Stegostoma tigrinum: one gene and its partners. The protein of the gene in region 1 purifies or fractionates together with the protein of each later gene. This does not show direct contact. Links are inferred from orthologs where the notes say so. Each region holds a gene or a part of one and is shown on either strand. Other genes may lie near its edges. The genes, in order: lrch3, unconventional myosin-VI and sugt1.

Region 1 (10,553 bases):
ACCTTTCTTCATATAATTTCTGTGTCTTATGCCCTCTCTCTCACACTATACCTGAGGAAGGAGCTGAGCTTAGAAAGCTTGTGTTTTCAAATAAACCTGTTGGACTCTAACCTGGTGTCATGTGATTTTTGACCTTGTCCGTCCCAGTCCAACACTGGAAACTCCACATCATATTTTTCAGACAAGAACTTCAGCAATCAATGCACAGGAGAAGTTGAGGATGGTGGTGTTGAAGTAAAGCATAGTCTCATTTAAACTGTTTTGGAAACTGATACTGTTCTTGAATAATTTTGCCAAGAGGTATTAAGGTAACCAGGGGACAATGGATAGATTCATCCAAGAAATATCCATTGCAGCAAATATAAGATGGGTAAGGCTGGAACTAGGGGATGGCGTATGCGCCACCCGGGCAAAAATGGAGAGATAGAGGAGGTGGTGTGATCAAGAATGCTAAAACTACAACAGTTGAGGAATAAGATGAGATACTGCACTGGTTGGATAGATTGCAATTGCTGATACTGATTACAACTCTTCATTTGTGGCAAGGGCAGAATTTGTATGTAGAGTGTAGGCTTGAGGCTTTAGCTGCATACAATTATCCTATCGGTCCTATAAGGGAGATTTTGAAGCTGGTGAAGTCCACATTGATACCATTGGGCTGCAGGGTTCTCCCCTTACCCCACCGCATCCCAAAACCAGCCCAGTTCGTCCCCTCCCCTCACTGCACCACACAACCAGCCCAGCTCTTCCCCTCCCCCCACTGCATCCCAAAACCAGCCCAGCCTGTCTCCGCCTCCCTAACCTGTTCTTCCTCTCACCCATCCCTTCCTCCCATCCCAAGCCGCACCTCCATCTCCTACCTACTAACCTCATCCCACCTCCTTGACCTGTCCGTCTTCCCTGGACTGACCTATCCCCTCCCTACCTCCCCACCTATACTCTCCTCCCCACCTATCTTCTTTTCTCTCCATCTTCGGTCCGCCTCCCCCTCTCTCCCTATTTATCCCAGAACCCTCACCCCATCCCCCTCTCTGATGAAGGGTCTAGGCCCGAAACGCCAGCTTTTGCGCTCCTGAGATGCTGCTTGGCCTGCTGTGTTCATCCAGCTTCACACTATTATATTGGTGAGCTTTATTCATTTGTAGTTGATGTTTGCCTTGTACAGAATTAAATAGGAATATAATCACCCCAACAAGTAATTCAGCATAACTCGACTGTCTGAATCGCCTCCTACCTCAAATGGGTTTTGCAGTATAATTTTCTATTCCCTTTTCTCTCATACACATGTTCTTTTTTTATTATTGCAGCTTTGCCTTCCCATGATGAGTTCCACATTCTAATCAATGAGGAAAGAAATTTATCTGAATTTTTGCAAGGACCAAATGGCCTTCTGCTCTTCGTTCCCTGTTGGATTTAATCAATTTTGCTATTTTCTGACTGATAGTTTTAGAGTTTACCACCAGCAGAACTTTCTCTCCCTTGACCAACCTATTCAACGTAGAGAAGTGCAAATTATTGCACTCAAGAAAGAAAGAAAGAAAGAAAGTCAAGACACATATTCTCTGGATAGTGCTGAAATAAATGAAGGACTTCGGAGATTTTACAGGCTCAACAATGTGGAGTAGCAGATAATATAGCCAATACTACACTGAGTCATCAAACCAAAATATAGGAAGTTGTATAGTACCCTGTCTGACCACACATTAAGTACTTATATTTCACAAACCAGTGGGGAACTAAAGAATTAACAACAGGAAGAGCTACTTCATTAAAAAAAAAACCACTGGACTTTATTGGATTTTAAGCTAGACCCTGAACTAAGACAGGCTGATTTAAACAATTAAATGCTTAAATAGGTGACTGTATGGTACATCTTGCTGAATAAATTAAGGTGGATGAAATATCTTCTTCATCAGTAATTATTTAGTGAAGTGGTCTATATTAACCAACCATATTTCCCCTGGTAGAGACTAATTTTGTGCAATCATGGTGCTGCTTTGTTAAACTAGGCCTCAAACCCATGAATTTTCCTCGGATTAATGTAAGGACATCAATGAAAGTATATTCGTCCTCAAATAAGGAGGCATGAACCGTCCATAGTATACTAAATATGATCTCAGCAATGCCCTGCATTCCATTTCTCCTTGCAAGAAAGGCAACCTCCTCCACAGATCTCCATTTTGACATGGTGGTGAGGCCTGTGTGCTCCATTGATGTTTGAGTCATGCTTCTTGCTCTGGGTAAGGTTACTGATTTTGGTGAGAGATAAAGGCGAGATGCCAGAAAGTCCTCAATGCAAAGCAGGTGAAGGAAGACTACATATCACTGGCTGTGAAGGCTGCAGTGGCCAAGAGGTCATGATTGCTGTGGTACATCATTGCAATCTGACCATGAACCCATCAAGATCATGTGGACTGCACAGGCTTCTATAAGGATCCATTTGCCAAGTCCCAGATAGGACTGTGAATTTGGGAGTCTTTAGTCAAGAATCTGCACACAAGTTGGACATCGTTGTGACTAAGCAGTCCTCTTCTGGATACCCTCTGTTCTCCCCAAATACAGAAGGGAATAGAAACAGTGCCACAAGAATAGACCGTCCCACTTTCTCCTGGCTGGGGAACTCCACTATGCAGGATCACCAACTTTGTGATCAAGAAAATTAAAACTAAAATTTTACAACTTGGAATCTTATATCATTTGCGATTAATCTTAGGAGTGACTATAAGAAGAACTGCAATCATATCACATGTACCATCAAGACTCCAAATTGACACCGCTGCTTTGATGGTCAGGGACAGCTGAAAGAAGAAGCAGGTTGTATACTGTCTACTCTGAAAGCGGAACTGACAGTGACTCTGATATCCATGGAGTTGGTTTTCACAGTTGCAACACTTGGATAAACTACCACAACTATCCAATTGTACAAATGAAAGGCACGTTACACAACACTTCCAGTTCATCCATAAAATGATGTACCATAGCCATGAATTGAATATCTCAAACCCTTGATTCAGATCAATGTATGAAAAGAGACGTTCTACTCTGACCTTGATGAAATCCTCCCTGCTATCCAAACTCTACCATTTCAGCCTTCAACAAATTACAACAATGTGTATTTGACAACAAAAGATATTCACTACTTATTAAAAGCAATGTCATTATCACACTCCTGTACTGCAGTGAGACTGATGCCATGTATCAGTGATACATAATAACACAAGACAAATTTCATCAGCAGTGCCTGTGCCGCACTCTCTGGATTCACTCGGAGGATCATTGAACAAAAGCTGGTGTCCTCATGAGGCCAGCTTGACAAACATTCAGGTAAAATCAACTATGATGACTAGACACTGACCAAATGGCTGCAAGTGTCTCTCTTCTGAAGTCATTTTCTCCTAAAATTCAAATGGCCAGCATTCCAATGGGGAGAGTGAAAACTCTACAAAAACACTCTGAAGCTCTTCTTAAAGCATGGCAACATTGACAGTAATGGCTCTTTATGAGTTCAAATATTTTAATAATGAAGCAGAGTTGTTGCAGAGAAGCAGAAGAAAGGAAGTAAATTGTGTACTCCAGATTCCTCTCCCATGTGGGATTTCCTGTCCCTTGTATCCAAAGGTCTGTAGGTCAAGAAGCAACCTCTTCAGTCACACAAAGACCCAAGGCAGAAACTTGCTTTCCTGAGTAGATGTCATCCTTCATTCAAGGGATAACTGACAAAAAAAGTTGCATCGGTCTTGCCAATTCATTTGTGTCTACATACTTTTTTTTGTATTGCACATACAAAAATACCCAAATCCTCAACCATAAAGTTCTGTATCTCTCTCCACTTAAATATTATTCAAATTGAAAGTTTGAGAAGAATTGTAGCTCAGGTTGTGGATGAGATTGTAGACTTGCTCACCGAGCTGGTGTGTTTGATTGCAGATATTTCATTACCCTGCTAGGTAACATCATCAGTGCACCTCCAGTGAAGCACTGGTGTTCTGTCCCACTTGTTATATAAAGGCATATAAATAACAAGCGGGACAAAGCACCAACACTTCATCAGAGGTGCACTGATGATATTACTTAGCAGGGTGTTGAAACATCTGTAATCAAACAGCTTGGTGAGCAAGTCCACAATCCCAATATTCTACTTTTCTATTCTTCAAACCAAACTGGATATTCTCATATTTTCCTACATCGTACTGTAGTCTACAAAATATAGGACAGTCTCTCAGCCTGTGTTATGAAAATGGTTGGGACGGCAGGGTGGCTCAGTGGTTAGCACTGCAGCCTCACAGCACCAGGGACCCAGGTTCGATTCCAGCCTTGGATAACTGTCTGTGTGGAGTTTACACATTCTCCCCGTTTCTGCATGGGCTTCCTCCAGGTCCTCCGGTTTTCTCCCACAGTCCAAAGATGTGCAGGTTAGGTGGATTGACCATGCTAAATTGCCCGTGGTGTTCATGAGTGTGTGGGTTATAGGGGGATGGGTCTGGGTTGGATGCTTCAAGGGGCGGTGTGGACTTGTTGGGCCGAAGGGCCTGTTTCCACACTGTAGAGAATCTAATCTAAAAAAATTCATGATTATTATGCATTTGATTTTGAAGGATCTTTGAGATACCCGAAATTGTTTTTTGTAAGGTCAATGAAAAGACCCATGAAAATTTTTTAACACAAGGCATTTCTTGGAAACCCCGAAAAATGATGCTACAAAATTTCTGGGCTTGGCTATTTGAACTCACTTAAAGGAAAACATCTGATTGTTTCTGGACTGAATTTTGTAGGTATTCTGTTTAGACAATGTTTGCTAGTCTGGAACAACAAGGTGTAGAGCAGGATGAACAGAGCATGCCAAGCAGCATCTTAGGAGCAGGAACGCTGATGTTTCGGGCCTAGACCCTTCATCAGAAATGGGGGAGGGGAAGGGGGTTCTGAAATAAATAAGGATAGAGGGTGAGGCGGATCGAAGATGGATAGAGGAGACGATAGATGGAGAGGAGACATACAGGCCAAAGAGGCGGGGATGGGGCCAGTAAAGGTGAGTGTCGGTAGGGAGGTACGGAGGGGAGAGATCAGTCCAGGGAGGACAGACAGGTCAAGGGAGTGGGATGAGGTTAGTAGGTCGGAAATGGGGGTGCGGCTTGAGGTGGGAGGAGGGGGTAGGTGAGAAGATGGTTAGGGAGGCAGGGATGAGCTGGGCTGGTTTTGGGATGCAGTGGGGGGAGGGGAAATTTTGAAGATTGTAAAATCCACATGGGAACCCTGCAGCCCAGTGGTATCAAAGTGGAATATGAGTTGCTGTTCCTGCAACCTTCAGGTGGCATCATTGTGGCACTGCAGGAGGCCCAGGATGGACATGTCGTCTGAGGAATGGGAGGAGGAGTTGAAATGGGAGGTGCAGTTGTTTATTTGGAACTGAGCATAAGTGTTCTGCAAAGCGGTCCCCAAGCCTCTACTTGGTTTCCCTGATGTAGAGGAGACCACAACAGGTACAGCGGATGCAGTATACCACATTAGCAGGTGTGCAGGTGAACATCTGCTTGATGTGGAATCTTCTTGGGGCCTGGGATGGCGGTGAGTGAGCAGGTGTGGGGGCAGGTGTAGCACTTCCTGCAGTTGCAGGGAAAAGTGCCAGGTGTGCTGGGGCTGGAGGGGAGCGTGGAACGGGCAAGGGAGTCACGGAGAGAGTGGTTCCTCCGGAAAGCAGACAAGGGTGGGGAGGGAAAATTGTCTTTGATGGTGGGGGGGTCGGATTGCAGATTGCTAAAGTGTCGGAGGATGATGCGTTGGATCTTGAGGTTGGTGGGGTGGTACGTGAGGACGAAGGGAATCCTGCTTTGGTTGTTATCGCGGGGAGAGGTGTGAGGGATGAACTGCAGGAAATGTGGGAGACGCAATCGAGGGCATTATCAGCGGCGGGTGAGTGTGGGGGGCGGCGGTGGAGTTGCAGTGCAGTCCTTGAAAAACGAGGACATCTGGGATGTCCGGGAATGTAATGCCTCATCCTGGGAGCAAATGCAGTGAAGGTAAAGGAACTGGGAATACGGGATGGCATTTTTGCAGGAAGGTGGGTCGGAGCAGGTGTATTCTAGGTAGTTGTGGGAGTCGTTAGGCTTGAAATGGATATCCTACCTGCTCTCGTTTTTTTCAACAAAAGTGAATCACGTTGCACGAATCATGCAAGTTGCAATTTTTAAAAAGACACTATATACGTCTCAGAGCAGCAGGATGCTGCTTGGCCCAATGTGTTGATCCAGCTCTACACCTTGTCATTCTCAGATTCTCCACCATCGGGCATTTCCTACTTTCACTGTATACGTCTCTCCGATAAGATGCACTTCGCCGACAGCCCAACAAACGGACCGGTCACATTGACCGTTGAGCGCGCACGCGCGGTTTGTCCAGCTGTTCGCACCTGCGCAGTATTGACCAAGGATTCGTAATGGCGACGGTGTCGACGATGGTGATGTCGGAGTGTCAACTCGGGATTGCAGGCGGTGGTGTCGGATTGAACGCATTCAGCGAGGCAGGGGGAGGAGGTAGTGGTCACAATGGTTCTGGATCGGTCCAGCCGCCTTGGAACAGGAGTCTAGAGAGAGCGTTGGAGGAAGCCGCTGCGACGGGAGTGTTGAGCTTAAGCGGGAGGAAACTGAAGGAGTTCCCCAGGAGCGCGGCGAACCAGGACTTGACGGACACCACGCAGGCGGGTAAGGGAGAGCACGCACTCGGGCAGCCTACTTCGCCAGGGCGATGGCAGCTTAGATCCAACGGAAATGTTTTGGGAGGTGACCAATGTAATTTAAACGGGGCGGCGCGTGCACAAGCAGCGCTGTGGCTCGTGTGTCCGAGCTCTGGGACACGCGCACGGGTGGAGACCTAGGCGTGCGACACCAAGGGTCGCTCGTCAGTGGTTCTCTGACTCCGCCCTTGGTCACTAACCGGTGATGCAGTAATTTGCTGTTTTTGGTGCTCGTGCCTGAGTACTTTGAAATTAAGTTACGACAAAATGTAATTTTCACAACGTCAGAAGCGTAATTCTGGATTGATTCCATCTGTATCGTTCATGGTAGATTTATTGTTGTGTCGGACCATGAAGAGTCAAAACACCGATCCAGCTGAAGGCAGGGAAGAGCCAACAATCCATACTACTTTTCATTTGTTTAAAATGTTGCATTAACCGTCGTTCGTGTAATTTTAGGCACTTATTTCTACTCCTGCGGTTTTAACCACCTATTCTGTTTCGTCCCTTGCATGATTTTTCCAATTCTTCCTCCTGTGTACTTGGACGAAACTGAACGTTTTCTTGAATCAGTCATGCATAAATATCATTTAACCCATCCAGCCGATCTGTCCAATAAGCCCAGTCTCACCTCCGGATTTCAGACGATTGTCAGGAGTATTAATGTTTGGAATGATACAATGATAGTAATCAATAATAACATTACAGTTAAGTCAGTATCTGGTTTATTGAACCGGATCTTCAGATTTTTAAGGCTCGTTAGCAATGCCGTGATTCTACCCGCTTTTCTCTGGTGGCTTTCATGACATTGGCAAATACTCTACGGGTAAAAAATGCCAACTTTGATTAGTTATATTTTACAAGAGAGACTGCCCTACAGTAGCTGGGTAAATTCATAATTGGATGAAATGATAGAAGCTCATTGGACAGTGTTGAAAACGACATGATTACAAGTTATTTATACAGTCTAGGGAAGAGGCCGACTTAGAGTTATAGAGATGTACAGCACAGAAACAGACCCTTTGGCCCAACTTGACCATGCTGACCTGATATCCTAGATAAATCTAGTTCCATTTGCCAGCATTTGGCTCATATCCCTCTAAACCCTTTGCCTGTCCACTGCATCTCCAATTTTGGTGTCATGTGCAAACATATTAAATATACCTTCTATGTTCACGTCCAAATCATTTATATAAATGATACTTGTTTAGAAAATGCCATAGATGTCAAAACAGAAAACTAAAGCTAAAAGGTTAAGTGCACAAATGCAGAAGAAAAAGAACTGATTTGATTGACTCAGAAATGTAAAGAACAGCAGAAGGTAACAAAGCAGCCAGTAAGAACTACAAAATAGAAATGTCAAAGATGTGCATAAAATGCCACTAAAACTGCAAATATTTTTAGAATTATGTTACAAAAAAGACTGTTAAGAGCTTTGTGGATGAGCTGAAAATATATGATCAATGATTTTAAAAGGAAATTGGTCAATGGGATTGACTGCATTAGTGGCATGCACCTGTAATCCAGCGATTTTTGGAGGATGAGATGATTGAATTCTTGAGACCATGTTCTGTCTTAGGGCATCCTCTTGTGGTACTGCCCCTACCCTTGTACCAGGAGGCCAAGGTTCAAGCCTCACCACCTCCAGAGGTGTGTAATAACATCTCTTAACAGGTTGATTAGAAGAAAAATGTTGCTGAATAAAGAGCTTTCGTTGACACACTGAGTTAAATGGCTTGCTTCTGTGCCATTATGACTCTTTTTAAATTAAAACAAAGAAAGGGGGGAACATGTTGCATACTTATTTGACATTATTATTTATAGCCAAGGAAGAGAAGGATGGCATCCCACTAATTCCAAAAAAATCCTTGTATTAAATCAGAGAATTAATGTAATAAAGTCAGAGTGGTATCCCAAGCGCCAGGTGATTTCCACCTCAGGATTTTAGAGGAATTTGTTGCGAACATTGCAGGTGCCGAAACTGTGAACATCTAAACACCTCTTGATTCAGGGACGATTACTTGGATTGGAAAATTGCAGTGTCACTCCTATGTAAGTTGACCAAGAGGGAGAAAACCATGAAATTACAGACAAGACCCTTGACTGATAGGGTTTAGGTGAATAATGAAGCTTGATAAGGATAGAGTGATTTTTTAGCAGGGAGTGACACCTCATACTGCATTTTGGGCCAGGTGGAAATTTTCTGAAAAGGTGATTGATATTTGGCTTTAAACAAGGATGCATGAAATTGTGATGCTATCTGACCACTTCTGTCATTGGATATTATTACAACTGTGGTGTACAATTAGCTCTCATAAACTAAGTGAAGTTAGTAATAATCACCTGAAGCGGGCCATGTGGTTGAAACTGCAGGTAGAATCTGAAAATCTTTTGCAATGATAAGTGGCTGTTTGGAAAATTATACCCACTGGCTCGAAAGAGCTAACAACTTAATCCCACTTCATTTCTGTTATGGAGTCAGAGTCATAGTCATGCAGCACTGAACAGGCCCTTTGGCCCAACACTTCTGTGCTGACCAGGTTACCCAACTGAGCTCGTCCCATTTGCCTGCATCTGGCCCATATCATTCTGAACGTTTCCTAGCCATGTACTTATCCAAATGTCTTTAAATGTTGCAATTGCACCCACTTCTACCACTTTCTCTGGTAGTTTGTTAATCCATATCAACAAATTTGTCCACGTTGTTTTTAAAAGTTATTAAAAATAATCACTTGATTCATTACTGTTAGTGGTAGACATTTCATTTCCAATCAATACTCTGCATAGAGAAAATAAATCCATATTCTTTGTGCTTGTATAATATTTGTCGCTTGACTGGAGAAATTCATTTTTCCAATTTACCATAAACATCTCAATTTTGAACAATGCTATTTTATTTATATTGCAATGAAAAGAATTCCACTTTCTCTCGACATTTTTTTTGGTCTGAAATCCATGATGACTACAGTCCCCCTATGTGCTGGCTTCATTACCTTCTGTAGAAGGCATGCAGAAATTGACATTACAAGCCATTGACGAGTGTTTTGATTCACTTATTTTTGTCATGTACTAAATGTACTCTGTGCCCTGTTTAAAATTTAATTATGTTGGTCTCTGATTTTGATTTGATCTGGTTCTGAACTCCATGCACCTCTCTGCTTCTATACTCTTTATAGCATGAGTATCATGTGAGAAACATGGTTTCTCATTTAAGATTCAAAATATTATCATTCCAAACCTCCATCCAATTTAACAGAGTTAGGACCTTTTTTTAGAGGGTTTCAGCTGCTCGGTAATTGCCTGTCAGCAGTTTCAGCAGTTTTGTTGGAATTTCCACGTCGTCCAGACATGTAACTCTCAGCTAAACTATTGCAGCAACTGTCTTTCTTTCGGAAGATCTAGGTCCTCATTTCGTGTAAAGGATTACAGCTTTAATTGACTTGTCACACCATTGACTCAAATAGGGCTTAATTTGTGCAAGAGTTGTACTGTGAGCTTCAGTTTAATACAGCTACAGAGGACTTGAGTCATAGAGCTGTATAGCATGGAAACAGATCCTTTGGTCCAACGTGCCTATGCTGACCAGATATAATAAATAAATCTAGCCCCATTTGCCAGCATTTGGCCCATATTCCTCTAAACCCTTACTATTTATATATCCAAATGCCTTTTAAATGTTGTAATTCTACCAGCCTCTGGCAGCTCATTCCATTTATGCATCACCCTCTGCGTGAAAAAGTTGATCCCTAGATTACTTTTAAATCTTTCCACTCTCGCCTTAAACCTGTGTCCTCCGGTTTTGGGCTCCCCTGTCCCAGGGAAAAGA
Region 2 (10,599 bases), on another chromosome or scaffold:
TTCTAAATCTGGTTTCTAAGATGCTAACAAGTCTGCCACCACTCAACTCATGGCAGGTTTAACAGCTACAAGCAAGCAGAGATGGCTCGCACAAAGAATGGTTCCCAGGACATAAAACCAAGAATTTTTCTTTTCTAAAATATAGAAAACAGAAAGAGTTCTTGCAAAGAGTTGGCAAGAACTGCCAATGCCGGAGTCAGAGATAACACAATGTGGAGCTGGAAGAACACAGGCCAGGCAGCAGAGTAGTAGGAAAGCTGACATTTTGAGTCAGGAACCCTTCTTCAGAAACCTACTTTTGAACCCAGATCAGGCAAATTAAAAGCTACCCAAATCCATCACTATGCTTAATCTTGTTTTAGTTTCTTTTTTGTTCATTTTGCAAAAAAAGGAGAAAAAGTAAAATGTCATGATTAGTGCATACAACACAAAAGCATCATGCAATCACTAGAGTCAGTGCCTGGGACTCCAGGTGCATTGTAAAGGCCAACTCTGATTGTTCAAAAGATAACCTAAAAAATAAAGGAAATATTTCTCAGAGTTATTTTATTTTCCTGAAAGAGAACTCAAAAGATACTCCTCATAACATGCTCCAACACAGAAAACCAATAGAGACAAAATAAATCACTTCATTATATTTTGTCTGTCCACCAAGTATTACTTGATAGCTCAGGGTAACTGCAGCATTTCTACATATAATGTTGCAATTGCAAACTATAATTCCAAGTATAAGTCTATTACACTCTGAATAAGGACAGATATATTATAAAGTTTGAATGTTTCCAAAGTTTTTGCCCTTTTGAAACATGTAAATGTTTATACATTTACATTAAAGTCATGATCACAATACTTAAGATGACAAGGTGCAGAGCTGGATGAACACAGCAGGCCAAGCAGCAGAGGAGCAGGAAAGCTGATGTTTCAGGCCTAGACCCTTCTTCAGAAATGCATTTATTTCATAATATTTATTTTGGGATTGCTATACATTACATGGAAATACTACAGCCAGCACTCCCTGTAGAAGGAAAAATGGACACCACAGTGTGGTGTGTCTATCTCAATCATCTATTTGCAATGAATTTGCCACACCAATGCTTTCTATGGTAAACCAAAACGAGGAGCATCCTCTGAAATTTTGTTGCTGTGGCTACAGTTAAACAAAGAGGAGAGGATTTTTTTTGGTACCAGTGCCCTCCCAAATTAATCAAGCCCCATGTTATACTTGAGGTACAAATCAGCATGAAGGTCTAAGTGATTGAAGCAAGGTGGATGGAGAGCACTACCTTCATTGTTCTTGTTTCAGGTCAGCGATTACAGAATGAGGCTGTATTACAACAGAATCAGTGTTAAATATATTCATCTTTACTCCAGGTATAGTGTGATTAACAGTATGCTAGCCATGGTTCAATTACTGGCATTCTTACTTCTGGGTTTAAACAAAAATTGTAGATTCAAGACTCATTTTACTAGTCAATAGAAAACAGCTTAAAAAAAAGTGTCAAAAAAAAAACCAACTTCAGGAAACAGTCCAGACTGGCATTCAGCACAGGGAGATACGTCTTTCAGTTGAGACTTCAAGCCTAAAATGCACTTTCCCTTCCAGAGTAATGTAAAGGAATCCATGGCATTAATCAAACAGCAGAAGAGTTCTCCCCAGTGACATAGCGAGCATTTATCCCTTATTTATTTAAAATACATTGAGAGAATTTGTGCATAAATTGGATGCAATGATACAACATTAATGCACAAAAGGCAAAAGTGCAAATCTTTTGTGCGCACCATGAATTGTGTGCAGGTTAACTCAATTAATTATTCCAATTAACGGAGAACAAGATTTTGCTACTTTGGGGTGAGAATACAAGTTTTAGCCATGCGTTGAGACTGTGATTTGCACCATCCTCAGATCAGCCATGTTATTGATGTGAACAAATAGACAGAAAAAATATAGAAAATTGGATAATATCACATTACAATGGTCTTTATTAATTATTTTAGACGCAATTCAAATATACACATTAACCTCATGTTACAAAGTCTGCAATACAACACAAGCTTTTAAGAATGAAATATCAGAGTGTCACACTTCAAGTGGATGGATTCAAATTTTTTAGTTCTTCATTTCTTTCATTCTGATGAACAGAACAACAGGTATTTAGATTGGTACTACTAGGACTTAAAAACACTATATATATTTTTTAGAATGGGCAGCAGTGAAATCTCTCACATCATGAACCAATTTAAAATGTATTCTAATCACTTATTAGTAAGCAGGCAATCTTCTTTTTGTGAATTATAGAAAATCATTAGCCTTCAAATCTCCATGACAGCAGCGACCAGACTGCATCATCTATTAAATAACATAACATCAATTCTATTATTTGAACATATTCAAACATTCAACTACTTTATTTATAAGTTGAATCTTACTTGTGTCACCTCGCTAAACCTAAACATTTTCTAATCATGTACACATGACATGACATCTGCAGTCATTCCGTGATATCATTCCTTTCATTTTCCCATTCCAAATCAACGTCTCAATTTATCAACAAATCATCTATTATTTTAATGCATCAGTGCATGCCTCAATGAAACTGGAAGGCTTGTGGAAGAACCTGTGTGTTAAAGTCTTCCAGTTCAAAAAGGCACGCATAAATGAACCGTTGATGTTACCTTCTTTTAACCTTACATCAAATACTTATTTTCAATTGAAAACAGTGCACAGTACATCCTTCTGCAGATTCCACCTCTTATCTTGTGTAAAAGGTTTGCACTGGTTATTTTACAGCTGTTCAGAGACGTGTTCACTAAAGTAGTGAGGTATTTATAAAATATCCTTTGATTTTATATTATAGGCAGCACAATTTAGTTGTTTCAACTAGTACCACTAAACCACCTTTAGAATCCATACACCTTAGTTGAACAAAATAATCACAATTGTGACCATATTCTATTTCAATATTTACATAATATAATTTACACAAAATAATATACTGCTCTGGAAAAGTAACAGCAATTTATCATACTATGATATTTAATCCAAGTCAAACAAAAACTGCTCACAACCAGAGATATGAAAGTTGGTCAATCAGTTCCTGACGCCAGATTATTTAATGTAGATTTAACATTTACTCCATAAGTGATGCACAAATTAGTTATTTACAAAGATAAACAAATCCAATCACATTATTTGCTGCTTCAAACAAAACCTGTTAAAAACAGGTATCAGGGAGGGATTGAGCACGTTAGAATTTCCTCAAACCAGAAAACAAAGCTCCATTTTCCCTTGCAGTTCTGTGTGGTACCTACTCTTCGTAAACCTTCGCCGACTGAGGATAACCCAAAACTAAAACAAGCTAGATATCAGAAACAGGACCCTCGCCACAGGAAACTATATAAATGGTTAATAACGTTAAACTTAAAAACTTTTGGAGAATCCCTCAAAGCACGGACTAAAATAGCATTTCATCAGGAACGATTAATAGCTAGGAGGACAAGAAAACATTCACCAATCACGCAGAATTTTGATAGGTCAACCATATGAGAAAAGACGTTTAAAATGTTGTCGTCTCACACTCCCGGTAGTACAAATTGATTACGATACGCACAGAGAACAGCAATCTCACTAGAAATATCGATGTTGATCAAACAGTATCTTGTTTGATAAAACGGAAGAACTGCGGACGCTGTAAATTGGGGCCCAAATAAAGTTGCTGGAAAAGCTCAGCAAGTCTGGCAACATCTGTGAAGAAAAGTCAGAGTTAATATTTCAGGTCTGATCTCATATTTCTCAGGAAGTAACCGGACCCGAAACTTTAACTCTGATTTGTCTTAACAGATATTGCCAGACCTGAGTTTTTCCAGCAACTTATTTTCGTTCGATATTTTGCGTGAAGCTGTTTTGATAAGGAAGCAGCGTATTTATTGTAAGCGCGAAGGGAGAAAAACAACATTTTCGCTTGGTCCATTAATCTACTGTCTGTTCAACTTAGACGCCACCATTCGGAAATGGGGCTGTGCGGATCAACAGAGATTTAAACAAGGGCAGTACAAGCGAATAAGAAAACAACCAGCTTAAAGGCGAAACTATTCGAAATATCGAAACGATAATACCCAGTCGAAATCGAAAGCGATTTAAATATAAAGACATTCAGGAATGGAAGCAGCTGCTGGTCATTCAACAACCAGAAAACAACCGGGAAACAACCAGACAGGATTCCCACCTAGCCATTTTCCGGGGGAATCTCTAGTTTCCTGCACGAAACAGGATACAGTCCGAAAAGGGCTCCGGGAGAGGTCATAAAAACAAACTCAGCTCACAGCTCTCTTCGGGACTCGAGCAGCCCGAATCCATAAGTAGTTCGGAATCGACATAACTCCCTACCTCCTTCCTTTCACTGAGAGAATGGGCCGGGAACACTCAAACAGGGAAAGGACTCTCTACAAACCCCAAACCCCCACTTTTTCCTCCATCCCGCTCCACCCGGGTATGGAAAAGACTCTTCATCCAAACTAGTTCCAGTTGAGCGGTGGATCCGGTCGTGGCGTCCTTTCCACAACATCTTACCATGGAGACCAGGCCCCTGGTACCCTAAACCCTTCAACCTCACCCACTTTCACTCCTAAAACACCTACCCACAATCACTGCACAGTTTTCCCCATTCGCTGTCAACACGCCCGACCCTCTTACTCATTTAACCTCAGTCGCCCCCCGACTCTTACCGTCAACTGTTTACCAGTGCCGTTGCAGAAAGTCTGTTTCCCCTCGATAGCCACAGGACTCGTCCTGGTGCTCCTCCCCTTTGTTCCCGCTGCGTCTCCAGATCCTGCTCAGTCCTAACGCTCCTCCCCCTGCGCGGCTCCCGGTGCTCCGCCTCTTTCTCTACCCCCGCCCATACCCGCTGTGTGGCTAGATCCTGCCCCCAGCCCTAGTGCTTGCTCCTCCTAGTGTGGATCTTCGTGCTCCATACTCCCCCCGACACACCCACCCACCTGTGCCCGGTGTGGGTGCCGATATTCCTGTTCTCCGTCCCTGTGGTCCTGGTGATCCGATGTTCGTGGCCCTGGGACGATCAACGTCACGGTGATGGCCCTCAGAGACGGAGAGGCCCCCAGTAACACAATGAACACGGTCAGTGAGAACACATGATATGCACGGTCTGTCAGATACTGCAGAGAACAGCGCCTTTCATCGTAAGGGCATCCCAAAGACTTTCACAATTAACTTTTCAAAAATAATCCCGCTCATAGCGAGTTCACTGTGCCTGCCCACTGTCTACAATCCTCTAGTCAGGAATGTGATATTGGATGGGTGCAGCTGCAACATCACTCGAAGCTCAACACTATTCAGGACAAGATAATAAAATGTGAGGCTGGATGAACACAGCAGGCCAAGCAGCATCTCAGGAGCACAAAAGCTGACGTTTCGGGCCCCAAGATGACATTCCACATTAAGCAGAGGTTCACCTGCACATCTGCCAATGTGGTATACTGCATCCACTGTACCCGGTGCGGCTTTCTCTACATTGGGGAAACCAAGCGGAGGCTTGGGGACCGCTTTGCAGAACATCTCCGCTCAGTTCGCAACAAACAACTGCACCTCCCAGTCGCAAACCATTTCCACTCCCCCTCCCATTCTCTAGATGACATGTCCATCATGGGCCTCCTGCACTGCCACAATGATGCCACCCGAAGGTTGCAGGAACAGCAACTCATATTCCGCCTGGGAACCCTGCAGCCATATGGTATCAATGTGGACTTCACCAGTTTCAAAATCTCCCCTTCCCCTACTGCATCCCTAAACCAGCCCAGTTCGTCCCCTCCCCCCACTGCACCACACAACCAGCCCAGCTCTTCCCCCCCACCCACTGCATCCCAAAACCAGTCCAACCTGTCTCTGCCTCCCTAACCGGTTCTTCCTCTCAACCATCCCTTCCTCCCACCCCAAGCCGCACCCCCAGCTACCTACTAACCTCATCCCACCTCCTTGACCTATCCCCTCCCTACCTCCCCACCTATACTCTCTCCACCTATCTTCTTTACTCTCCATCTTCGGTCCGCCTCCCCCTCTCTCCCTATTTATTCCAGTTCCCTCTCCCCATCCCCCTCTCTGATGAAGGGTCTAGGCCCGAAACGTCAGCTTTTGTGCTCCTGAGATGCTGCTTGGCCTGCTGTGTTCATCCAGCCTCACATTTTATTATCTTGGAATTCTCCAGCATCTGCAGTTCCCATTATCTCTGATACTATTCAGGACAAAACAGCTTGCTTGTTCAACACAACATTCACCATCTTAAAAATTCACTTGCTGAACCGTCAACAAACAATGGCTGAACCATCAACAAACAATGGCAGCAGTGAGTACCATCTACGAGATATATCGCAGAACATTAACCAAGTTTCCTTCAATCCATCTTCCGAACAGATAACCTCAGCCACCTAGAAGGAACGGAAAAGCAAATGCCTGGGAACACCAGCACCTGCAAATTTTCCCCTAAGACATGCCGTTCTGACTTGAGATATCTCACCATTCCTTCACTGCTGCTGGCTCAAAATCCAAGAACACCATTCCTAATACCTGCAACAGATAGACTGCAGCCATTTAAACAGGCCGCTGATTAAGTCAAGTAATTAGAGATGGGCACAAAATTCTAGCCTAGCTAGTGGTGTAACATACACTTAGTGCGTAGAAATATTCTTCAAACAACACTGAAATTAGGATCAGATAAGGATGAAAGACATAGAAGCATTTGGGACATTGTGTTCACTTTGCCATTCAATCAGATCATGGCTGATCTGATAATCCTCAACTCTATTTTCCGGCTTCATTACCATGATCTTTGATTTCCTGACTGGTGAAAAATATGCCTGCCTTAGCCTTAAATATGTTTAAAGACCCAGCTTCGACAGCCCTTTGTGGTGTAAAGAACTCCCTGGAGTGATTACCCTCAGAGAAAAAGTTCTCCTCATCTCTAATTTAAATGGCAACCTCTTATCCTGAGATTATGCCCTCTAGCCCTGGATTGTCTCATGAGGGAAACTATCCTTCAAGATCCCATAATCCTATATGTTTCAATAAGGTCTCTTCTTCTAAAGCCCAGTGAGTACAAGTTCGACTTACTTAACCTCTTGTCGTAAAAAAGACCCTCAATACCCAGAATTAACCTAGTGAACCTTCTCTGGACTGTCTCCAATTATTGTATCTCGCGTCTTTAATAAGTGGACCAAAAATGATCACAGTATTCCAGATGTGGCCTGAACAGTGCCTTATATGGTTTTAGAAAGACCTCTCTATTTTTAGAATAAAGAACTGCAAATGCTGGAGACCTGAAACAAAAGTAGGAAGTAATGGAGAACTCTGACAAAGGGTCACTGGATTCAATTCTGATATTCTCTCCACAGATGATGCCAGACCTATTGAGTTTCTCCAGCATTTTCTGTTTTTGTTCTCTATTTTACATGCCATTCCCTTAGAAATAAAGCCAATAGTGAATTTGCATTCTCTTTTACCAACTGAACAAATGAGTTAGCTTTTTGTGATTCATGTCCAAGGACTCCAAATCCGTCTGTTCTGCACGCTCTGCAGTCTTTCCCTATTAAATAAAATTCAGCCCTGTTCTTCCTCCTGCGAAAATGGATAATCTGCAATCATGTTCCATTTCCAAATTTTGGCTCACTCACTTAAATTGTGGGCTCATTGTGTCATCCTCACTACTTGCCTTCTCACCTATTTTATGTCATGTACAAACTTGGCAATAATACATTTACTTCCTTCTTCCAAATCATATACATATAAATAATTGTGGCCTTAGCACTATTCCCTTTGGCACTCCAGTTGTCACAGGTTGCCATCCTGAAAATGCTCCTTTTATCCCAAATCTGTCTTCAATAGTTAACCAATTCACTATCAATACTAACACATTACTCCCATCACAATGAGCTCATCTTATTAAGTAGCCTTATGTGTGATACCTTATTAAATGATAATCTGTTTCATTCATGTTAGTTGATGGATAAATATTTTCCAAGAATTCCAGGAGAGATTTCCTTTGGTTCGTCAAAGTGGTATCATGGGAGTTTTACCCATGATGGCAGTTGGGGCCTTGGTTTAACATCGCAGCAGTTAGGCTACACAGCACTCCTTCAATACAGTATTTGTGTATTGAACAGTATTTTGCACTCAAGTCCGTGGAGTGGAACTTAAACCTTAACCTTCTGATTCAGAAACAACAGAGAGCTACATTGAGCTTCAATTTGTAACACTCAAAATAGTACTATGTATCCTGTATCACTGCCACTAGTGTGATGATACTATGGCTTTAAGAGGTACATTTTGTCCTTTTTGTTTTGAAGACATGTTTTAAGACAGAGGTATCAAGCTGTCTGTTTGAATCCAATAAATTAAACAGCTTGTGAGGCACTTTTTTTAAGTTGGAACAATAAAAGCAGCCTGAATGGCTGGGGTCAAGCTTCCACAGAACCAGGATTTTTAGTTTTAGCTTGTAGCAGTTGCTGGGGTCTTGAAGTTGGGTTTGGAAGCTGCAGTACATCTCTCCCTGCAACTTGGTCTCTCTCTCTCTCTCTTAGGGTTTTGTCTTGATGATTTTCCTGCTGGATTAGAGAATTGCATGTGAGACAATCTATTTTACTGAATTTTCCTTTGCTAAGAGTGTGTTTATGAGATGTTACTATGTTGAAACAGTCACTGTTTCGTAGTTAAATAATCTATTATTCTGTTAAGTTTTCCAGCATAATTACGTTATTTCAATTTTTTTCTTCCTTTGGTAGTATATTAATTACAGTGTATAAATGAAATGTGTTTTGCTTCAAGACTAGAAGTTTGACCAATCGAATTAGATCTGTAACACAATACCTGGTACTTGAAATAAGAAAAAGTTATGGTCTAGGCTATCGTCTTAATATATCTTGAAGGGCTTTAGTCTGATCCATAACACTGGGAATGATGCACCACATGCTCTACCTCTGACAGCAATTCATTAGTAAATGTAGGCAAACCTGAACATCCTCCAGGATTGTGCTAATACATTCTAGATTCATTTTCATTTTAAAGGTACAATGCAAGTAACATTTGCATCACATTGTTGCCAGGTAATGGCCAACTTCAACAAAAAATCTAATCCATCTCTCCATGATCTATAATCTTATTATCACAGTGTCCCTCCCCATCAATATCCTGTAATTACCACTGACCTAAACTCAACTGGACCAATGAATAAATGCTGTGGCCACAAGAACCAGTGGACATTATGCAAAAACAGGTTCATCTCCTGACTCCTCAAAACATTTCTACTATCTGCAAAGAAAAAGGAAAGAATGAGGTAAAATATATTTCACAAGATGAATGACATTGCAACAATATCCAGGAAACACAACACTGTTTAGGGCAAAGCAGTCATCCGTGGCTGGCACATCCATTATTTAAATGTTCACTCAATGTGCACACACACAGCCCCCCACACTCCAATCTCTCTGGGCACTCTGGTTTCAGTGTCATTTACAAGATACACAACAACAACTCACCATGGCACTTCCCACAGAACCAGCCAATCTCATGAGATTTATTATCTGGAAGGAAAGTGACAGCAAAAGCAGTGGAATACAACTACTTACAAGTGTTTTTCTAATCATCCTGATTCAGAAATACTTTGTTATTATTTAATCATTGTCTAGTAAAATTTCTTAAAGTACAACACTTGTACCAGGCCAGGCAGCATCAGAGGAGCAGGAAAGCTGATGTTTTGGGTCTGGACCCTTCTTAAGAAAACACTTATAGCACTGTGTAAGTACCTTCACCTCATGGACTGCAATAATTCAAGAAGGCAGCTTGCCATTTCCATCTCAAAAACAACTAGGAATGAGCAACAAATATTGGTTTTGTTAACAATGCTCACACTGATGAATGTCAACAGAAGTGATGTAATACATCCATTGTATCACCACTGCAAATGTTGTATTACATCTTAAAAGCACTGGGAATGTGAGAACCCTTATGTCGAGCAATGCCTATAATTTCTTTTGTGAGGTGTACCTTTAAGACTAAAATTAATCAAGAGTGTATGCTGAAAGATTATTAATTTGTTAGGATGAGTTTCCAATAAATGTCCATGACCTGTGGTTGCTATGGGGATGAACAGCTAAGAAGCAAACGGTTAAAAGAAGTAAATTGCAGTGGATAATAAAGTGTGAAGCTGGATGAACACAGCAGGCCAAGCAGCATCTCAGGAGCACAAAAGCTGACGTTTCGGGCCTAGACCCTTCATCAGAGAGGGGGATGGGGTGAGGGTTCTGGAATAAATAGGGAGACAGGGGGAGGCGGACCGAAGATGGAGAGAAAAGAAGATAGGTGGAGAGTAGAGTATAGGTGGGGAGGTAGGGAGGGGATAGGTCAGTCTGATCCCCAGTTCTGCATAAGGGTCACTGGACCTGAAATCTTGTTTTTGTTCCTGATTCCCAAAGTCTTTTATTCATATATAAAGAGCAAGAGGGTAACTAGAGAAAGGATTGGCCCACTTAAGGACAAAGAAGGAAAGTTATGCACTGAGTCAGAGAAAATGGGTGACATTCTTAACAAGTACTTTGCAT
Region 3 (10,660 bases), on another chromosome or scaffold:
AGCACACTTAAGAGATGAACAAAAAGAGGATACGAGACGGATCTGGCCATATGAGGTTCAAGATAATGCCACAAGGTTCTAAAGCTGTAATAAGAGTAAAAGGGTGGCCCGGGAAAGAACAGGTACCCTTAAAGTTCAGCATGACTGACTACGCATGTAGCCACAGGAGATGGGGAAGATTTTTAATGAACATTTCTCCTCAGTGTTTACTAAGGAAAGGATCATGGATGCTAAGGAAATAAGGGAAACGAGTGGGGATGTTTCAGAGCACATACATATTACCATCCAGGGGGCACTTGCAGCCCTAACACACATTAAATGGATAAATCCCTTGGGCCTGATTAAATCTATCCCTGGATTTTGTGGAAGGCTAGGGAAGAATTTGCAGAGGCCCTTACAGAGGTTTTTGCTTCATCATTAGCCACTGGTGAAGTCCTAGAAGACTGGAGGGTGGCTAATGTTATTCTCCTGCTTAAGAAAGGTAGCAAAGACAAGCCAAGGAGCTACAGGCCAGTGAGCCTGAAATCAGTGGTAGACAACTTATTGGAGAAGATACTGAGGGACAGGACCAACCAACATTTGGATAGTCAAGTCTCATAAGACATAGTCACGTGGATTTGTGTGCGGGAAGTCACATCTGACAAATCTTTCAGACTTTTTGTACAGGTAACCATGAGGTTGGATGACGGTAGGGCAGTGGGTATTGTCGATATGGACTTTACTTAGGCCGTCAACAAGGTCCTGCACGGCAGGCTGGTCATGGAAGTTAGGTTGCATGGGATCCAATGATAGGTAGCTAATTATATTCAAAATTGGCTCGATGGTAGGAAGCAGAGGATGATGGTTGATGGTTATTTCTCAGTCTGGAGGCCTGTGGCTAGTGGTGTACCACAGGGGTTGGTGCTTGGACCTTTGTTATTTCTTATTTACATAAATGATCTGGATGTGAATGTACAAGGCAGGATTGGTAAGTTTGCAAAATTAGGAGATATCATTGATAGCGAAGAAGGTTATCAAAAATTACAGACGAATGTTGATCAGATGAGGAAGTGGGCTGAAGATCGGCAAATGCAATTCAATACTGCTAAGTGTGAGGTGTTGCACTTTGGAAAGTCAAACTAAGGTAGGACTTATACAGTAAATGATAAGGTCCTGAGGTGTATTGTGGAACAAAGGGACTTGGGTGTACAAATACAGAGTTTGTTGAAAGCAGTATTACAAGTGGACAGGGTGGTGAAGAAGGCATTTGGCATGCTGGCCTCCATCGGTCAAGGCATTGAGTATAGGAATTGGGACATTATGGTACAATTGTATAAGTTGTTGGGTGAGGCCACACTTGGAGTATTGTGTAGACCCTGTTACACGAAATACATAGTTAAGCTGCAAAGTGCTCAAAAGAAGATTTACAAGGATGTTCCCAGGACTGGTAGGTCTGAGTTAAAGGGAGAGGTTGGCCAAGATAGGACTTTATTCCTTGGAATGTAGGAGAGTGAGGGGTGACCACATTTAGGTGCTTAAAATCATGATGAGCACAGATAAGATGAATGCATTTATTCTTTTTGCCAGGAATGAAAAATTAAAAACTAGAGGGCATAGATTTAAGGTGAGAGGGTAAAGATTTAAGCAGGATCTGAGGGGCAACCTATTCACACAGAGAATGGTGCATATATGGAATGGGCTGCCAGAGAACATGGTTAAGGCAGGTCCAAGAGCAACATGAAAAAAAACATTTGGATAGGTACGTGGATGGGAAGGGTTTAGAGGGATATGGACCAAATGCAGGCAATTGGAACTAGCTGAACGGGCGCCATGGTCAGCATGGAAGAGTTTGCCCCATCCTGTGAACCAGGCAATTCTATGTCAATTGATGGCACAATAACAGTTTACTTGGGCCAAAAACAGAAAGTTTTGGAGAAACTCAGAAGGTCTGGAGGCAGCTGTGGAGAGAAAGCAGAGTTAACCTTTCAGATCCAGTGTCTCCCTTATAAAAGGAAATGTTAACTCTGCTTCCTAATCTAACTCCATCTGCCTGTTCTTAGTTCATATCCCTCTAAATGAACTACACAGGGCATTTGGTGGCCCTTCTTTCAGAAGAAAATGTGCTAATCCCGATAGAGTAATACAGCACGGAAACAGATCCTTTGGTCCAATTCATCTGCACTGACTAGATAACTTAAACTGATCTAGTCCCATTTGCCAGCTCTTGGCCCATACCCTTCTAAACTCCTTCTACTGACTGTTATCTTATTCCTTTATTTTCCTAGTTTAAATTAGGAAAGACTTTAATGTTAACTACTACCTTATTTCTGTATTTTTCTATTTATTCTGTGAAGTAATGCTTAACTTTTTAAATGCTTTTCTTACTACTTTGTATCTAAGTTTTTTGTACCCAGGCACCATGATACCTAAGGCGGGGCCTTGTGTGGTGATATTATACTTCACTATACTCCTGTGCTTGAGTAACATGTCGCAATAAAATCTAAATCTAACTCTAAATTTATTCATGCATCCATCCAGATGCCTTTTAAATATTGTAATTGTACCAGCCTCTGGCAGCTCATTCCACACATGCACCACTCTTTGTGTAAAAAACTGCCCCTCTTTACCCTCTTGCCTTAAACCTATGTCCTCTAGTTTTGGACTCCCCTAACCTCGGAAAAACACCATGGCTATTCACCCTATTCATGTACTTCATGATTTTATAAACCTCTATAAAGTCACCCTCAGCCTCTGACACTCCAGGAAAATAGCCCTAGGCTATTCAGCCTCTCACTACAGCTCAAACCCTCCAACCCTGGCAAAATCCTCGTAAATCTGTTCATGAACCCCTTCAAGTTTTACAACATCCTTCCTATCGCAGTGTGACCAGAACTGAACACAGTATTCCAAACGTGGTCTAACCAATGTCATGTTTAGCTGTCACATGACCACCCCCGATCTCTTATACTCAATGCACTAACCAATGAAGGCAAGCATACCAAATACCTTCTTCACTGAAAATCAAAAGAACTACTGCTACTGTGAATCAGGAACAAAAACAAAGTTGCTGGAAAAGCTCTGCAGGTCTGGCAGCACCTGTGAAGCAGAAAACAGAGTTAATATTTTGGATCCGGTGACCCTTCTTCAGAACTGAGGAAGCTCTACAAAGTCACTTCCTAAGTTCTGAGGAAGGGTCATCAGACCCGAAATGTTAACTCTGTTTTCTCCTTCACAGATGCTGCCAGACCTGCTGAGCTTTTCCAGCAACTTTGTTTTTGTACCTTCTTCATTGTCCTGTTGACCTGCGACTCTTACTTTCAAGGAACTATGATCCTGCACTCCAAGGTCTCATTGTTCAGAAACACTCCCCAGGACCTTACCATTAAGTGTATAAGTCCTGTCCTGATTTGTCTATCCAAAATGCAGCACCTCACATTTATCTCAATTAAACTCCATCTCTTGGGCCCATTGGCCCACCTGATCAAGATCCTAATGTACCCCTGAGGTTACCTCTTCGTTGTGCTACGCTTCCAATTTTGGTCTCATCTGCAATAGAACATAGAACATTACAGCGCAGTACAGGCCCTTCGGCCCTCGATGTTGTGCCGACCTGTCATACCGATCTGAAGCCCATCTAACCTACACTATTCCACGTACATCCATATGCTTATCCAATGACGACTTAAATGTACCTAAAGTTGGCGAATCTACTACCGTTGCAGGCAAAGCGTTCCATTCCCTTACTACTCTCTGAGTAAAGAAACTACCTCTGACATCTGTCCTATATCTTTCACCCCTCAATTTAAAACTATGCCCCCTCGTGCTCGCCGTCACCATCCTAGGAAAAAGGTTCTCCCTATCCACCCTATCTAATCCTCTGATTATTTTATATGTTTCAATTAAGTCACCTCTCAACCTTCTTCTCTCTAATGAAAACAGCCTCAAATCCCTCAGCCTTTCCTCGTAAGACCTTCCCTCCATACCAGGCAACATCCTAGTCAATCTCCTCTGCACCCTCTCCAAAGCTTCCACATCCTTCTTATAATGTGGTGACCAGAACTGTACACAATATTCCAAGTGCGGCCGCACCAGAGTTTTGTACAGTTTCACCATAACCTCTTGGTTCCGGAACTCGATTCCTCTATTAATAAAAGCTAAAACACTGTATGCCTTCTTAACAGCCCTGTCAACCTGGGTGGCAACTTTCAAGGATCTGTGTACATGGACATGGAGATCTCTCTGCTCATCTACACTGCTAAGAATCTTACCATTAGCCCAGTACTTTGCCTTCTGGTTACTCCTACCAAAGTGCATCACACCACACTTGTCTGTATTAAACTCCATTTGCCACCTCTCAGCCCAGCTCTGTAGCTTATCTATGTCTCTCTGCAACCTACAGCATCCTTCGCCACTATCCACAACTCCACCGACCTTAGTGTCGTCTGCAAATTTACTAACCCATCCTTCCATGCCCTCATCCAGGTCATTTATATAAATGACAAACAGCAGTGGACCCAACACCAACCCTTGCGGTACACCACCAGTAACTAGTGTCCAGGATGAACATTTTCCATCAACTACCGCCCTCTGTCTTCTTTCAGCAAGCCAAGTTCCGATCCAAACTGCTATATCTTCCACAATTCCATTCCTCCGCATTTTGTACAATAGCCTATTGTGGGGAACCTTATCGAACGCCTTGCTGAAATCCATATACACCACATCAACCGGTTTACTCTCATCTACCTGCTTGGTCACCTTCTCAAAGAACTCAATAAGGTTTGTGAGGTACGACCTTCCCTTCACAAAACCGTGCTGACTATCCCTAATCAATTTATTCTTTTCTCGATGATTATAAATCCTATCTCTTATAACCTTTTCCAACACTTTACCAACAACTGAGGTAAGGCTCACTGGTCTATAATTACCAGGGTTGCCTCTACTCCCCTTCTTGAACAGGGGAACCACATTTGCTATCCTCCAGTCATCTGGCACTATTCCTGTAGACAATGACGAGTTAAAGATCAATGCCAAAGGCTTGGTAATCTCCTCCCTGGCTTCCCAGAGGATCCTAGGATAAATCCCATCCGGCCCAGGGGGCTTATCTATCTTCACCCTCTGTAGGATTTCTAATACCTCTTCCTTGTGAACCTCAATCCCACCTAGTCTAGTAGTCCGTATCTCAGTATTCTCCTCGACAACATTGTCGTTTTCTAGAGTGAATACTGTCGAAAAATATTCATTTAGCACTTCCCCTATCTCATCTGACTCCACACACAACTTACCACTACTATCCTTGATTGGGCCTAATCTTCTTTTGTCATTCTTTTATTCCTTAAATACCTATAGAAAGCCTTAGGGTTTACCTTGATCCTATCCACCAACAACTTCTCATGTCTCCTCCTGGCTCTTCTGAGCTCTCTCTTTAACCATTTTTTTGTCTTTGTTTTTAGTTTATTCGCCCCACTGCACTCCCTTCGCCAGATGATTCAGCAGCCCTGAAACTCAGGAGTAAACCTCAGGTACAGCGTCAGACAACGGCGGTGGTCCTTCGACGTCAAACCCTCCTTTACAAAGATGGCGTCAATCGCCGCGTGCGCAGGCGCGGCGGTTTCCTCTTGCACTCTGACGCTGACTCTTTGGCGGTGGCGCTCCCTCCCGGCTCCTTGTTCCAGAAGTTTCTAAAGCGGCGGCGGCGACGACGACGACGACATGGCGACAGAGCGGTGAGTTGTGTGCTGTGTTCGCTGTTCAAGTGTGCTTTCGGCTCATGTACGCTCCTTTTTTTAAAAAAAATCTGTTTGTTTTATGATGTTTTGTCAGAGTCATTACAGACCAGTTCATCGCGGAGTGTCCGGAGAAAGCACTGGAGGTGAGTGAAAGGTTTGTTTTTTTTTGTTTCTCAAACCCACCGCTTCGGCCTGTTAAGTTTCCAGTGTTGGGGGGAGTAAAGTGTTCGGAAAGGCACCTGTTTCTCCCGGTCCTTGAGCATGTGGAGGTGGGGCCGAACTCGGGTGCAGCATGGTTCATGCCGTGAAACTGGACCAGAGTGCCACAAATGTTATACTTGCAGCCATTCGGCCCATCGTGCCTGTGCCGTTCCTTCCCACAGGTCCCCGATTTCGTTTTTCTGCTGGTGGGTGCGTGGGAGTAATTGGCAAGGCCGGTATTTGTTACCTATTTCTGTTTGGAAGCTTGGACTCTTTGGACTGCTGCAGTCCATGTGGTGTGGATGCACCCACAATACTGTTAGGAAAGGCGTTCCTGAATAGTAATTTTAAAGGGTGCTCCATCGACAAGTTTTTAGTCGTCTGTTGTAATATCTCGCTGGCTGCGTATCATGAATATACGTGATAAATTAACATTAGGGAAGTAAATGTGTTGCTAAAGGAGTGGTGTGGGAAAGAGGGACTCCATTTCATGGAGCATTGGCATAGGCTTTGGAATAGGAGGGACCTGTACTTCTGGGATGATCTCCACTCGAACCGGTCGGGAATCATTGACGGGGTGGTCATTGGGGCTTTAAGCTAGTGAAATGGGATGGTAAGGGGAAATTGCAGGATGTATAATGGTAAATAGAAAAGGAAACAGCAGGTTAAAATTTTATGTGGGAGGGTTTAACTACATTGAGGACTGAAGGAAGTTAAGAGGAAGGAAAACTCAGGAGATATTAGTGGTGATGTTAGAATTCACAAAGGGGGTATAAAAACCAACATAAAGGTACTTTATGTAAATGTACTGTTCAAAACAAGGTAGATGATTTATTGGTCAAAATATTGAAAATGAGTATGATTTAGTAGACATTATTGAGACGTGGTTGCAGGATGGTCACAACTGGAAATTAAATATCCAGGGGCATCTGACTTTTCGGAAGGACAGACAGGAACATAAGGGAGGTGGTGTTACTCTGATTTTTAAGGGTGACATCAGGGCAGTAGTGAGAGATTTAGGTTTTGTGGAGAATAAGGCTGAGTCCAGCAGCCTTGCAGCAGCACATGGGCAACAAGTTATGGACAGAGGCAAGTGCAAGGGGGTAATCCTACCACTTAACCTCGGAGCAGCTGAGTGCCGGTTTGGAGTGCAATGGGCATTGCTGTTGGACTGGGGTGTGACACATGGTTGGACCATGTGCTTTGTGCTGAAATGTCTGTTCAAAATTACCTACCTTACTACAATGTTAACCTTTTTAATATTTTCTTATTTTTAACTTTAAGTAATGCAACTAGTTTTAATCCTCTGCTATATCCAAGAATTGCATCCAGGTACTTGCGCCTAAGATGTCGTCATCAGACAGACATTGTGAAGGTTTTCACTGTACTTCTACAATGGAATCCACAGGACAATGAAAGGATATTGTAAATTAGAAATTGTAAGAAAAAGTCACTGATAGGTGTAGTCTGTAAGCCACCAGATAATAACATCACATTAGGATGGGCAATAAACAAAATAACTAATGCCTGTAAAAATGGTACAGTAATTATCGCGGCAGGTTTTGATGTACATCTTGATTGGTCGAACCGAGTTGGTCAAGGCAGCAATTGAGAAGGAGTTCATTGAATATATTCACGATAGCTTTCTTGAGCAATATGAAATGGAACCGACGTGGGAGTGAGCTGTCCTCAGTCTGGTCCTGTGTAATGAGACAGGGATAATTAATGATCTCATCTTAGTGATCCTCTTGGAAGAAGCAATCACAGTATGGTTGAATTTAGAGTACAGATGGAAAGTGAGAACATAAAATTCAGTGCCAAAGTCTTGTCCTTAAATGTAGGAGACTACAATAGGATGAGGGAGGAGTTGGCTCAAGTAGATTGGAAGTAAAGGCTCTGTGGTGGGACAGTAGCAGCAATGGAGGACTTTGCATGCAATTTTTCAAAGTACTTAGCAACAGTATATGCCGAGGAAATGGGAAAAACTGTAGGAAAAGTGGTAGTCAGTCATGGATGTCTGAGGAAACAAGGGAGGCTATCAGAATGAAAGACGAGGCGTACAAAGGGGTAAAGACCAGTGCGCAACTAGAAGACTGGGAAAACTTTGAAGTTCAACAGAAAGCCACAAAAGGCTATAAAGAAAAGTAAGATAGTTTAGTCTCAGAAATCTCTCTCAGCATATAAAGACAGATAGCAAAAGTTTCTATAAATTTATAAAACAAAAAAGAGTAAAGCAGGTAGTTAAGAAGGGAAATATAATTTTGTTCTTCATTGTTGGGGGCATTGAGTTTAAAGGAGGGAGGTTATGCTGCAGCTGTATCGGCTGTTGGTGAGGCCACACCTGGAGTACTGTGTGCAGTTTTGGTCTCCTTACTTGAGAAAAGATGTACTCGCAGTGGTTAGGGTGCTGAGGAGATTCAGTAGGTTGTTTTCAGAGATGAAGGGGTTGGCTTATGAGGAGAGGCTGAATATACTGCCATTATATTTTTTGGGATTTAGAAGTATAACTGGGGATCTTATAGAAACGTATAAAATTTATGAAGGGAATAGATAAGATAGAATCAGGGAGGTTGTTTCCACAGGTGGGAGAAACTAGAACAAGAGCGCATATCCTCAAAATTAGGGGGAGAAGATTTAGTACTAAATTGAGGAGGAAGTTCTTCACCTAAAGGGTCGTGAATCTCTGGAATTCCCTGCCCAGTGAAATAGTTGAGGCTTCCTCATTGAATATTTTTAAAACAGAGGTAGATAATTTTTTTGAATAGTAAAGGAATTAAGCATTGTGTTGAGAGGGTAGATAAGTGGAACAGCCATGAACTTATTGAATGACGGAGCAAGCTTGAAGGGCCAGATGACTTACTCCCGGTTCTTTTGTTTTCTTTATTTACTTTGCCGTTCATAAAGTTTTCAACTTTTGGGAAGGTTTTCTTTTATTCATTCATGGGGTGTGGGTGTTGCAGGCTGTGTTAGCATCTACAGTCTTGTCACTCTTAATTATCTGGGAGAAGGTGGCTGTTTTCTTGAATTGCTATTCAACCCTCCCACACACCTAAGCAGTCTCAAAATTCAATCAAGTTTGTTTGATGTGTTCTCCTGACAGTCATCCTGACTTTCTGATTTGATTAATCCGGTCCGTGTTGAGACGACCTCAATGTTTTCTAAAAGTTTTCACTCCACTGATAGACGCGCTCGTCTACAGTAACCTGTTTATACTTAACCTTGAATTAATGGCACCATGCTGTCGGTCTTCCAGCCCTCTGCCACTTCTGCAGCCACAGAAAATTTGAAAATATTGGCAGTTTTGCAATATCTTCTGTTGCCCCTAGGATACATCTTGTTTGGACTGGGGATTTATCCAATTTTAAGGCTGTAATTATTAATGCCCCCTTTTTACCTTTTGAAATGGGATGAGTGAATGATTACATGCAACAATACATGGAAGTAAAACAGGTCTGGGCGTGTGGCAAGTATGACAGTTCGAAGTTCTGGATATCTTGTCTGGCAAATTAAATTGGAATCGGTGAAAAATAATGTGAATTTGGAGGTAATTACTGAAGAAGGCATTGTGGCTCTAGGATTTGTTAGCTATCTGATCGAATATGAATACAGAAGTAGGAATCGAACAATATGGAAGAGCAAGGTAAAAATTAAGTTAGAGGTTCCTCAAAAAAGAAGTAATGTTACTTTAAGGATTAATACAAAAACACATCTTGCAGGTGCTGAAAGTCTGAAATAAGAGCAAAAAATGCTGTAGAAACTCAATTTTAGAGAGGACCTGAGGAAAAATGTTTCAAATCAATGATCTTTGCAAGATTAAAGAAATCATGACTGTTGTCCAGAACCTAAACTCTGGAATAAAACTGGAAAGTGCAGGAGAACCTGAGTTGGTCCAGCAGCATCTGTGTAGAGAGAAACTGAGTTAAAGTTTTCAGTTCAGTCTTGTTCACATCTGGAAGAGTCTTTGGACCCAAAACAGTAACACACTCTCTCTCTCTCTCTCTCTCTCTCTCTCTCTCCAAAGATGTTAAGAGACTCGCAGAGTTATTCTAGCATTTTCTGTTTTCATTAATGATTTCCGCCATCCACAATGTTTTGCTTTGGCCTCGGCTCTGCCTTTTCACCTTGCTTCCATTTTAAGACAGTTGGTTCAGAACCTAACTCTTGTATCAAGCATTTATTTACCTGCATGTACAGTGCATCTCCTTATGACTTGATATCATTCTGCTTTATAATATCTTTGGATCAGCTTGAGATATTAGGATGGCTTGCTGAATTTGAAGTTGATTAGCTGCTGAGGGCAGGATGCACGGAGATTGCTGACTACCGTGGGTGCCATGAGATTGAAGAATTGCTGATGCTCAAAACTGATTGAAAGGATAATCCCAGAAACTTCAGCCCAGTCAGTTCATCTCTTGTGAAAAGGCTCACTGCTTCCAACTTAACAATCACTTAGAGAAATGTGGATTTATTGAGGAAAGTCAGTACAGATTTCTTTAGGAAAATTGTTTAAGTAACTGGTATCAGAGGGAATTAATGAAGAAAGTGGTTGATGCACTTGATGTGTACACACACTTCTGAAAGGCGTTTGATAAAGTTTCACATCACAGGCTTGTCAACCATCAACCAAACCGAAATAAATGGAATAGAAAGGAAAGTGGCAGCAAAAAATTCCAGTTGGATAAATGAGAAGAAACTGTGTGGTGGGAGCTGATGGCTTTATATTTAGTGAAGCCTGGAGCTGAGGAATAGCCAAA

What was found.
Region 2: the proteins of lrch3 (region 1) and unconventional myosin-VI purify together in Homo sapiens (co-immunoprecipitation; 3 studies listed by BioGRID and IntAct, with this or other methods). This does not show direct contact. The link is inferred for Stegostoma tigrinum from reciprocal best matches to the Homo sapiens genes LRCH3 and MYO6.
Region 3: the proteins of lrch3 (region 1) and sugt1 purify together in Homo sapiens (co-immunoprecipitation; 3 studies listed by BioGRID and IntAct, counting the BioPlex papers as one, with this or other methods). This does not show direct contact. The link is inferred for Stegostoma tigrinum from reciprocal best matches to the Homo sapiens genes LRCH3 and SUGT1.

What each region holds. Positions count from the first base shown.
Region 1 is NC_081367.1:48,774,865-48,785,417, reverse strand, and holds the start of lrch3 (DISP complex protein LRCH3), read left to right. Parts: upstream 1-6,415; 5' UTR 6,416-6,430; coding exon 6,431-6,695; intron 6,696-10,553. UniProt on the Homo sapiens protein: As part of the DISP complex, may regulate the association of septins with actin and thereby regulate the actin cytoskeleton.
Region 2 is NC_081362.1:28,016,122-28,026,720, reverse strand, and holds the start of unconventional myosin-VI, read right to left. Parts: upstream 4,851-10,599; 5' UTR 4,723-4,850; intron 1-4,722. UniProt on the Homo sapiens protein: Myosins are actin-based motor molecules with ATPase activity. Unconventional myosins serve in intracellular movements. Myosin 6 is a reverse-direction motor protein that moves towards the minus-end of actin filaments.
Region 3 is NC_081359.1:6,871,255-6,881,914, reverse strand, and holds the start of sugt1 (protein SGT1 homolog), read left to right. Parts: upstream 1-5,602; 5' UTR 5,603-5,688; coding exon 5,689-5,702; intron 5,703-5,798; exon of another isoform or gene 5,799-5,799; coding exon 5,800-5,848; exon of another isoform or gene 5,849-5,859; intron 5,860-10,660. UniProt on the Homo sapiens protein: May play a role in ubiquitination and subsequent proteasomal degradation of target proteins.